Danio rerio: one gene and its partners. The protein of the gene in region 3 interacts with the protein of the main gene of each other region in a pairwise test. Links are inferred from orthologs where the notes say so. Each region holds a gene or a part of one and is shown on either strand. Other genes may lie near its edges.

What was found.
Region 1: the proteins of stac3 (region 3) and srek1ip1 interact in binary tests that used the Homo sapiens proteins (3 or more experiments, as listed by UniProt). The two-hybrid records come from large-scale screens. The link is inferred for Danio rerio from reciprocal best matches to the Homo sapiens genes STAC3 and SREK1IP1.
Region 2: the proteins of stac3 (region 3) and mab21l3 interact in binary tests that used the Homo sapiens proteins (3 or more experiments, as listed by UniProt). The two-hybrid records come from large-scale screens. The link is inferred for Danio rerio from reciprocal best matches to the Homo sapiens genes STAC3 and MAB21L3.

What each region holds. Positions count from the first base shown.
Region 1 is NC_133185.1:12,053,266-12,057,367, forward strand, and holds the start of srek1ip1 (protein SREK1IP1), read right to left. Parts: upstream 2,801-4,102; 5' UTR 2,703-2,800; coding exon 2,690-2,702; intron 2,313-2,689; coding exon 2,265-2,312; intron 1,491-2,264; coding exon 1,338-1,490; intron 1,183-1,337; coding exon 1,107-1,182; intron 172-1,106; coding exon 1-171. Other genes in the region: spliceosome-associated protein CWC27 homolog, read left to right, coding at 3,504-3,545. UniProt on the Homo sapiens protein: Possible splicing regulator involved in the control of cellular survival.
Region 2 is NC_133184.1:37,578,377-37,582,367, reverse strand, and holds the start of mab21l3 (protein mab-21-like 3), read right to left. Parts: upstream 2,801-3,991; 5' UTR 2,664-2,800; coding exon 2,616-2,663; intron 1,789-2,615; coding exon 1,648-1,788; intron 1,546-1,647; coding exon 1,474-1,545; intron 973-1,473; coding exon 681-972; intron 1-680.
Region 3 is NC_133184.1:267,660-271,159, reverse strand, and holds part of stac3 (SH3 and cysteine-rich domain-containing protein 3), read right to left. Parts: intron 3,334-3,500; coding exon 3,177-3,333; intron 2,994-3,176; coding exon 2,896-2,993; intron 2,815-2,895; coding exon 2,754-2,814; intron 1,528-2,753; coding exon 1,430-1,527; intron 1,051-1,429; coding exon 984-1,050; intron 209-983; coding exon 162-208; intron 1-161. UniProt on the Homo sapiens protein: Required for normal excitation-contraction coupling in skeletal muscle and for normal muscle contraction in response to membrane depolarization. Required for normal Ca(2+) release from the sarcplasmic reticulum, which ultimately leads to muscle contraction.

The DNA of each region.
Region 1 (4,102 bases), on a different chromosome or scaffold from region 3:
GATTCAGAAGAGCTGTCAGATGAGGAGGACTCTGTGTCTTTCTTTTTCTGTTTCTTCTTGTGCTTCCTTTCTTTCTCTCTCTTCTCCTTCTTCCCTTTCTTCTTATTGCTCTTGCGCTTTTTCTTCTTTTTGCTCATTTCATCCTCCTCCTCATCACTGGATGAATAAGACCTGGAGGTATGAAAACAAGATAATCAAACAGGATGCTGATAACGATAGCTAAACAATACATAACCTTCACAAACAGAAGAATTAAATAATTTTTCACAATAAATCAATGCAAGAACATATTTATGAAGAACGAGCAATTAGGGATGTCCCAATCAGGTTTTTTTGGCCCTCGAGTCTGAGTGAATTGTTTGTGAGTATCTGCCTATACCGAAACTGATCCGATACTTCTATAATGCCAAAAGAATAAAGAGCAAAAAAAAAAAAAAAACAGATCCAGGATGTTATGTTATTTTTACATTTAAAAACTCTGTTATGAAACAGAGCACTTCTGTGTGGTAGCTTGAACACAATCAAGCAATTAATAACAAATTCTTCACTTTTGGACTTTAGTGCAGCAGTAAATCTATTATAAAAACAAATAGCACCTCAACTTAAAATACCTGGCATGCAATCCTAACTTTACATATCTCACATATTGCTATGGCAATGTTGTCGTCATCAACTTTATGATACCTTCAGACCACAGGCATACTCCTGCTATATATATCCTGACCAGGAGGTTACGTCCGATTCTCATCAAGTCTGAAACCACGTGAACGGGCCCAATTTCCGATCATGTGATCGGATCTGGACATCCCTACCAGCAATACCCTAAAACAGTGGTAACCAAACTTGTTCCTGGAGGGCCGGTGTCCAGCAGATTTTTGCTCCAACCCTAATCAAACACACCTGAACAAGCGAATCAAGGTCTTACTAGGTATACTTGACAAATCCATGCAGGTGTGCTGAGGCAAGTTCAAGCTAAACCCTGCAGGGACACCAGCCCTCCAGGACCGAGATTGGTGACCCCTGCCCTAAAACATACATTTATTATAAATGTATCATCTTAATTGGATTTTTTTATTCTTTAAATTATGACAAAATAAAAAGTCTACCTCTTTTTTGCTTTTCCACGTGATCTCTCCTTGCTTTTCTTTTTATGCTTTTCTTTTCTAGAATCTTCCTGTGAACCTGTGTAGAAAACACCAATTTTTACAAAACGATCTTACTGTGGCAAATGATCACTGCAAAATCAGGGACTAACAGCAATGTCAGTATCCAGGTAAAGGAGTCACTGAAATGGTAAAGAGCCAAGACAGAATCGGAGTCTAAAGCGGTGAATAAACCTTTTGAATGGCTGCCGAAAATCTTTTCTTTACTGAGAGCTTCCTGCTCCTCCTCATCGCTCTCCTCGGTGCTGGTGCTGCTCACGTCCAAAACAATATCCTTCCTTGGATCCACGCGAAGAAAGTTACGACATTCAAAGGTAAGATGACCAGCTGATCAAAGGAGAGAAAGAATATATAGTTTGATTGTATTTATGCATAGACACACTTGTAAGTACACATAAATGTAATTCAATCAAAACTTTAAATATGCATTTTGTAAAGATGGATAAGTTAAATCGATCTATAGAGATACATGGATAGATATACAGAAAACAAGAAATGTAACACAAGCCAAACGTCAAATATGTTCACGTTTAGACCACGGGTGTCCAAACTGGGTCCTGGAGGGCCGATGACCTGCATATTTTAGTTCCAACCCCAATTAAACACATCTAAACCAGCTTATCAAGCTCTTCCAGGAAGGTCTATTGAAAGAAGTTGGATCTAAACTATGAAGGACACTCCAGGACTGAGTTTGGACACCCCTGGTTTAGACAGATAAATGGGCAAACAAATCCAAATTCATATGAAAATGTTAAAATATGTATTTTTGTAGATAAACAGAAAAACTGTCAAAAGTAAACGTAAATTAAACTTTAAATATATATTTGTGTAAAGAAAGACAAAAAAAAAAAAAAAAAAAACGCCATCCAAACAACACTTCAATTAAGTATTTATGTATATATTTATCTGTGGATTTGTGTGTAGATAGAAAGATGGTACATGGATAGATGGACTATGATTCATTATCTTTATTTATTTACAAGCAGAAATATAGAAAAAAAATCTACTTATAAACTGAAATATTGTTGGAAAGAAACTACAGAACAAAAAAAAAAAGCAAAAACAAAGTCAACTGTAAAGTTATGTTTTTGCCATACTCACGATAGCCACATCTTTTACATCCAGCTCTGATGTTGTCTTTATTTGGACCTGTTCATAAAAAGACATTCAATTCAATTTATATTTCTTTAAAAGTGTCATTTACATTGTTACATATATTCTGTATTGATCATATTTCATAATGGATTCATCTAGCTCACCATTTAAAACAATATCAAAGAAAGTATGTAGAATTAAAATAATGCGTCGTCATGAGATTTTATAAACATTATTAATCAGTAAACCGTAACTGTAAATGTAAAACATTCAGGAATTCAGGAACAACAGTCTTTTATTTAGGTAAATGTGTGCGATGTGAATGTCCAGACGAGCGAAGATAATCGTGCAGTGTTACTACCTAGAATAATCCCGAAGTAGCATATCAACAACAATCAGCAATGCTTATGGACAAACCCACAAAAGTATACCTGGGGCAGCCATGTTGTACTCGATTATAAATAGATAGAAATGATAACTTTCGTCGTATTCCGTCCGCCGCTTTTCAAAACACAAAACCGATCCGTCTGGTAAAAGAGTCCGGGTGGAAAGTGAACGAGTGCTCTATGGTACCATTTGGAGAACAGTTAATCCCTTCCATAGATGCATGAAAAATATGAATGTATTACGAAATATTAGCGCTAAAAAGATAAACGCAAGATGCTGCACTGAAAACCAATAAATATTGTCACGATAAGAGATAATTTGCCATATCTTTATGGTTTATCTGAATTTTGAGATATTGGCTTAAGCAACAATTTTTGGGGATACATTTTTCTGAATAGAAAGACACAATTTTCACTCGCAGGACAAAATGTTTTAAAAAATGCCAACACTACAATACTATACTACACGCTATAATTCAAAGACGACAATATAAGTGGAGATTATTTTCGTGATGTGCCCTGAAGTTTTAAACTTTACACATAAAACATGGTCATATTGATTATAATGATTGCTTGTAAAAATAAAAATCTGTCTCTCAATGTTCTATAATCTAAATGGTACGTTTATATTTACTCCGAGACTATAGGGGGCGATAAGGCCGAACAAAGTCTGCATGACGAATGAACGAAACTCTGCGGCGGCGTGACATGAAGCGCTTGTAAACAGAACATACTCTGGTACTTTATATCGGCTAGACGTGCTTCTTATGTTTTTGTAACATCTGCGCATATTCTGTACATTCTCTGTCATCAATGAAACCGTGGTGAGGGAAGTATACTCCAATAATACGCACTAAAGATGAGCAACATATATATTCAAGAGCCACCAACTAATGGAAAGGTGAGTTTCCATATCTCAAAATCATATTCATGATATATAATACTGCATATACACTAATTTGAGTCTGATTTTGCTTGCAATTTAAGTATTTTATTTACTTGCATTTTAATTATGAATTATGCAACGAATCAGTATTTTACGAGAACAAGCAAGTTAGTACCTTTATACATTTGTTCACGTATTTTAGAAACAGAATGGCTTATTAAACCTTTAAACTAATGCTTTAAAAAAACGAAAAAAACAATGAAAAGGTTTACACACATGTACATTTAAGATAAAAGAATATTCTCATATGTAATACAGCTCATCAGGGTGAAATTCTAAAAACCTTTAAATTGGTGAGATCTTTACTCTTTAATAGTGATCTTTAATAATGTGTATATAATATAATATATCTGACTACTTAAATAATACACAAGTGTTTAAGTTGTCATTCTAAATCTCCCAATAATATGTATTTAATAATAAAATGCTTCGGCGACGCAGTAGGTTGTACTGTCGCCTTACAGCAAGAAGGTCACTGGTTCGAGCCTCGGCTGAGTCAGTTGGCGTTTTTG
Region 2 (3,991 bases), about 37 Mb from region 3:
GAATAAAAGCAGTTATTAATTTTTTTAACACAATTTATGAGACAAGATTATTAGCCCCTTTAAGCAATTTTTTTTTCTCGATAATCTACAGAACAAACCACCGTTATACAATAACTTGCCTAATTCCCCTAACCTGCCTAGTTCACCTTATTACCCTAGTTAAGCCTTTAAATGTCACTTTAAGCTGTATAGAAGGGTCTTAAAAAATATCTAGTAAAATATTATTTACTGTCATCATGGCAAAGATAAAATAAATCAGTTATTAGAAATAAGTTTTTAAAACTATTATGCTTAGAAATGTGCTGAAACAATCTTCTCTCCATTAAACAGAAATTGGGGAAAAAAATAAACAGGGGCGCTAATAATTCAGGGGGGCTAATAATTCTGACTTCAACTGTATATGGTGTATATGGTGTATAAAACAAACAGAAGATTAAATGTTGTGCTACTTATGGAATCTATAATATGAAAAGATATTATAAGAGGATAACAAAACAAAAATAAAAGGTTAATAAATAAATAAATCTGTTATCCAGTTATCAACAGAACATATATCGAGACATCAAATTAAATCAAGCATATTAATATTCTGTTTGTGACTAGAATATCATTAGTGTATAGAGATTTTTCATTATTCACCAGCATTTACACACAGATTAAACAAATATTAAAACTCTAACTTGTCAGTCCGCGGGTCTTTATAGACGTCTCCAGAAGATCTTTGAAGACGTTCACCACCTTGGCTGGCACAATGTCACCTTCGATGGTCATGCGGGCATCGTGCCACTCCTGACTCGGGTTGACAAAACTCTCCAGCTCAAGCCATTGGTGGAGCTTCTCCGGCTCACGAACAGGTGAGAGGAGACGAGAGCCAGTCAGTGTATAATAACGCCACTGACGTGTCCGTCTCTCTTTATAGCCCATCAGGCCCTGCAGAGGCACTGAGATCAGGTACAGGGTTGGAGAGAGGACCTGCACAAGTCACCCAAAAAAAACATCAAACTAATCAGTACATCTATTCTGTTTATCTACTGTATAATATAAGCTTTTCTTACTCTGACTTTTTGTCTTTTGTCTAGTCCAAAAATATTAAAATATAATTTTCTAGACCTGGGGTGCCACTGTAAAAACCTTTAGAATATAGATCTGAATCAAACAGTGCACTCTGGCCTATGTAAATGCTGCAAAAGTACCGCAGCAAAAGTATTTGTAGCTGCATGCATGTTACATAATAACACCAGTTAAAGTTTACAACAGTAAATAGGAAAAGTACAATTTTGACACCATTTACTTGTTTCAAACCTGTATGTCCTTCATTCTTCTGCGGTACATTAAAGAAGATATTTTAAAGAATGTCCAATGATAATGGTGCCAAAATTGGTTCAGCTCCCCATTGACTTACCTAGTAATTTTAATTATAGAATTTAAATGTTGGGGTTGATCTATACCTTTTTAATAAATACTACTGCTTACTTGTATGGCAGGGTTGTATGCACATCTCCCTCTGAGTAATGCAGACCATTTTGACATTAAAGCAGGCTGGTCCTGAATTAGATTGTGGACACAAGAAAAAACATGATGTTATAAATCCAGCATTATAATGCAGTTAGTATTTTTTATATAGATGAGGCCTATGTGAAGCATTACTTTGAGGCTGGCGTTATGAACTCCAGCATTTGCGATGGACTGGAAGCGAGCGTCTTTTGAGCTGACCTCCGTAGTAAGATCTTTGATGATTTTCTGCACATCTTCGACACACTTTGAAACCTGCCGATGTCTGAGATCCACCTGACGATACATTTAACATCAGAAACAGCAGAATAAACCAAAAAAGGAATGTTTTTTTTATTTTTATTGAATCTATCTGAAATACTACACTAAACTCAAATAAAATGAAACTAAATAAAAAGAAATCCTCTAGCTATTTGTTTATTATTTTTATTTTATTAACACAAATTTTAAATAAAAAATAAAGAAAATAAACAAGAAATAAAAACATTACACCACTAAGACAGCATAATAAACAAAATAAAATAAAATAAAACAAGTTATGCAACTACAAATAAAATAAAATAAAAATATTTTATTACCATACAAAAATAAAATAAAACAAGAAATGAGGAATAAAAAGAATAAAGAATTAAACATATTTTCATCTGACTACAAATAAATAATTGAATAAATAAATAAAATAAATTAATTAAATTAATAAATAATAAATAAAAAATAAACAAATAAATAAATGCTATGCAGCCTGTGTTAAGAAAAACTGGATAGTCTAACAACAAATAGATATTTAAGTAAATAACAACAACAAAAAAAACTAACAAACATGTCAATTATGAAGACTATGGTAAGATGTAAAGATTGTGAGTAGTACAGCATATTCGCATATAAAACATTTAAGCTAAAAACAAGACAATAACACATTCGATTAGAGCAGAACAAACACTGAATAAAATAATTTTTAAAAACTCTAAAAATAAGCCATCTAAAATTATTATTGTTTAATTAAAACACCAAATGAAATGGTTATAATAAAAACTAATAACACATTAACAGTTTAGTTTAGATCTCGGTGCTCAATAAAACCAATGACAGCATAAGTAGGTCACCTGATTTAGCAAATAGTTATCCAGATCTTCATCTGTGCAGTTGGTCATGTTGTAGTCTACGCTTACAATAAGCTCTTTTCAGATGCTATTTTAAGTCTTCTTTTCAGCAGCAGAGCTTAATGTTGTGTCTTTGTGGCCTTTTTTGCAATTCTTTTGTGTCCCTGTGTACGTGCAACACAAATCGCACAAGGGAAAAGCACTTCAGCAGAGCCATTGATTTCACAATATTGATTCCCGAGATGCTAAAAAGCTTGTATGTTCCTCTGGGCAAATTAGTTCACCAATTGCTTACTCACATGACCGATCACACTCATTTGAATATAAACATTTGGTTTTAATCCAGCAGACTGCGCCATATGCTGATTATAAACACGCAACTGGATCACAATTGTTGTTGTTAATGTTGTTTATCAACTTACGTGAGTTGGAATTTATTGAATTAAAGTATGCTAAATTTAACAAAAAAAAAAAAGCATTAAAAAGAGGCCATTATAAAGGCTATATAATGTAAAACTACACCAAGCCTCTGGATTCTCATACTTCACATACTAAAATAACATGAACAAAAATATGCATGTATTGTAAACAATATATATCAACAATGAGAGCAACTGTGGGACAAATCAAATATTAAGAAATAATCAAATGCTTAAAAATAATATACAATAACTTGCCGGCTTAATTTTTCAGTTTGGAGCCCTCTGTAGCCTAAGTCAAAAACTCATTGACCACTATACCAATTGTGGATGAATTGGATGACCTTACATGGTTCAATTCAGTACAGATCAGGTGATGATGATATGAAAAAAACCCTGTCACAATCACTTGCACTACAGCCTTTAACATACATTGACTGTCTGTGGTGAAGATAAAGTGAACAAATGTCTAAATAAATAAACAAACTAAATGTTATATAGGTATTGGAAGTGGAACTTACAGCACAGTATAGTCATAATCAATAAAGAAATGTCTGATTGAATGAATGAACTAATTATTAAATAAAGGAAATGTTTTGTCAATAATGGAAAATACGGTAATGTTTTATTGTAGGCAGAGAATTATAAACACTTAATAGAGTTTGAAGGTTGTATAACAAAATAATAAAAAATATATTATTATGGAATTTACTGTGAGACATTAAAGGGGTAGTTCACCCAAAAATGAAAATTACCTCACCCTTTACTCTCCCTCCCCTGTGGTTTTATGAGATTATTTTCTGTTGACCAAGAAGATATTTTGAAGAATGTTGGTTGCTGGCACACGTTGACTCCTATAGTAGGAAAACAAAAATAACTAATGAAGTAACAGAATATCTTATTTTGTGTTTAACAGAAGAAAGAAACCTTTGGTTTGGAACTAGTAAATATGAGTAAATG
Region 3 (3,500 bases):
TGCAGGCACACTTGAAGCTTTTAGGCAATACCAGTAAGATTCTGGAGTCAAGGCTCATGAAGCTAGGAAAAGGCTTCCTAATGTTGACATGCCAGTCCAATCTTAAAAAGAGGATTATTTTTCTTTTCTGACACACACAGCACAGCACAGCAGTCTTTTACCTTGTCATCTGTTGCGGTTTTGTCTTTCTTGTCTCCATCTTGCTTCCCTATCAATGAAGTATACAGTATGCCCATTCAGCACTTAATTCTGTAGGTAATTCATACATAAAGCCAGTGTGGATGCAACCTCCCTTCAAAATGTTTTTCTCGTTAATAAAACAACTAAATTAGCAGGCCAAGCTCATGTTTGAAGGTAGTTAAAGTTCAAGACATCACTAGAATTCAAAGAAAACATGCTCATTAACATGCTTTACATCATTTGTGATAACCACACTGCAAACAAAGATCATTTTATAATGGACTGTGTTTTATCCAAGCAGTCTCAAAACATGACCAAGTTTTATGGCCTTATCATACACCTGGTGCAATAAGGCAGAAGACGGGTATGCCGCAATGTGTTGCTATTTTCAGACCAATGCAACAGTAATTTTCATAATTTGTGCCATGTTGTTTAAATAATAAATCCATTTGCACCACTTTGTGGACGCATGGGTTTTTCTGGTCTGAAAAGGAGGTGTGTTAAGGCGCATTGTTGGAGCACTGCTATTCTAAGAAACTAAAATGGACTGTGCAATAGATCATCTAAAAGCAGGTCTAAAGTCCAGCGCAGAGCGCGTTACTTGTGCACCTTAAATGCTCACACACTAGAAGAGGCTCATCAGGTAGCCTCTCCTCATCAGGAGAGGCTAATTGCCTCCTCCATACCCCTCTGTACACCACATGAACACAGCACCACAAAACCTCAGAGAGACTGAAGGAAGACGCACATGTCAGAATAAAGGTCGAAATCAACCCAAAACCACACGGTGCAGATATGCTTACCCTCAGCGCCCTCTTCATCCTCTTTGGGCTGTTGAGCTTCCTCCTCCTCCATCATCATCATCATCATCTTCAGGAGACACACACACACACACATACATTCATTCATTCATAATAGGTAACAGCGAGAGCTCAGACACATCTACAACAGTCTCTGTGCTGCAGGTCTTGTCTGGTCCTAAAGTCTCACTTCTTTTACAGAAACAGTTTACTTCACTCAGTCTTATTAAGCTTCTTTTTGCCTACAAACAAAGAAAACAAGCACTTTATTGGAAGTATACCGTGGTGTTTATGAAGATGAATTGTGAAGGAGCTGCTCTCTCTCAGCATCTTCACTCAGTTCATCTTCATACTTCTCCTGATGCACTACCATCGGCTCCTGCTTGCCCAATCCTCCAGTAGACCTGCCAGGTACATAAGTAACATCCTGATATCCTGTGGTCACTTACGTTCTTCTTGTCCTCTGAGCCTTTCTTCCTCTCTTTATTGGCCATGATCACTCCGACTCTCAGCGTGTCGAACACCGGATCTGTGCGGTTCTGCTGACCTGTGCACAGACATGCTTCTGTAGGTTAGTGTTCAGTTCAGAGATGGAGAACTTTGTTCCTGAAGGGCCTTAATCCTGCAGAGTTTAGTCCAACCCTCATCAATCGAGGATGTCTGGATGCAGAGCTGTCGCAGATGCAATCTGGGCTGCATCCAATGCTTTTTAATGCTCTCACCAAACCCCACCCCTTACCCTACCCGTCACAGTGATGTCACTCACTCCATTGAGTGCACTGTGTCTGACATTGCATCGCTGAGTGATATAATCACAGCTTGCATCATAAAGGCTGCATTCAGATACTATTGCATCAAACACACTAGAACAAGCTAATCAACAGCTGTGTTCAAAATTAACCCCTATACTCTCCTAAATAGTGGACTATTTGAGGGAGCATCTATAACTTTTGCATCTATCTATAGTCCGAAAGCTAAAGCTTTAAAATAACAGACTACATGAGCAGAGAGCTTCATCTCTCGTTGTTTAGTACACATTTCAACAATTATCAGCATATTGAATGTGTTTTAAACACAGCTTCATCCCTTATCATCATCATCAAGAGTTGTTTTAATGTAAATTAAGCCTCTTCAGCTGCTTCAGAACGCAGCAGCACGAGTGGTCTTTAATGAAGCTAAAAGAGCACATGTCACTCCGCTGCTCATCCGTTTGCACTGGCTGCCAGTTGCTGCTCGCATCAAATTCAAAGCTCTGATGTTTGCCTACAAAGCGACTCCTGGCTTTGCTCCTTATCTGCTCTCACTTCTGCAGATGTATGTGTCCTCCAGAAACTTGCGTTCTGTGAATGAACGTCGCCTCGTGGTTCCATCCCAAAGAGGGAAGAAATCACTTTCCCGAACTCTCGCGCTCAATCTGCCCAGTTGGTGGAATGAACTCCCTAACTGCATCAGAACGGCAGAGTCACTCGCTGTCTTCAAGAAACGACTAAAAACTCAACTGTTTATTTTCCACTTCACTTCCTAATCTGCAATTGCCTCTCTGGCTCCACCACTAACTGGATTACACAAAAGAAATAAATTACTAATGCTTTGCTTCTTACACTTTACACTCCTGAAACTCGCCTACAGCATTTCTTCATTGTTGCTCTTATAGTTGTGTAAATTGCTTCCTTGTCCTCATTTGTAAGTCGCTTTGGATAAAAGCTTCTGCTAAATGACTAAATGGTAATGTAAATCAGAAATGACCTCTGATTATTAACACATGTGACTCACCCGGGTTATTGATCTCCTGGTCATAGAGAGGAGAGCTGTACGCCCGTCTGAACCCAGGAGGCTGATGGAGAGAGGGAGATTAATCAAACTCAAGCTGAGCGTCTGGGTTAATCATGTATATTAAATATTTTTTTCATCTCACTATTTTGCCGAAGCATCTCTGGAACTGCACGTATGACTGGCAGGAGTGGTGGATGTTGGTCTTGCAGTTTTTACAGCGCAGCGCAAACTTATTATTGACTGAAAGTAGAGACACCACACAGCGCATACGTTTCATATCGTAGAGTTTCTTCTGCAACTTATGTGTGTATCTGATCATTCATTTTGGCAAGAACAGTTTACCTTAACAATGCAAACATATGAGGCAAAGGGTTGAGACAATATGTGTGCTGTTATTGTAACTTGCTATCAATGTGAACTTACGAACAATCATCCGTGCGCAGACGTCACAGAACTTGGGTTTCTTGCAGTAGTGGTCCTTGAATTTGTGTGGTTTGTCGTTGACCTGGACTATGGGCTCCGGGGTGGGTGGCGGAGGAGCTTCTTCTTCCTCCACCTCTTCATCATACACAAAATACACCTGAGGATGAGAAAATACACCTGAGAGGATGACCGAGTCGGCTGTGTGCTCACCGTACACACTGCAGGTCTCATTTATGAAGCCCCAGCAGAACTAACGTTGAAAACACTACTCAATAATAGTCCATTAGTTAATGTTAGTGAATGCAAAAACAGTAGCTAAAGTTC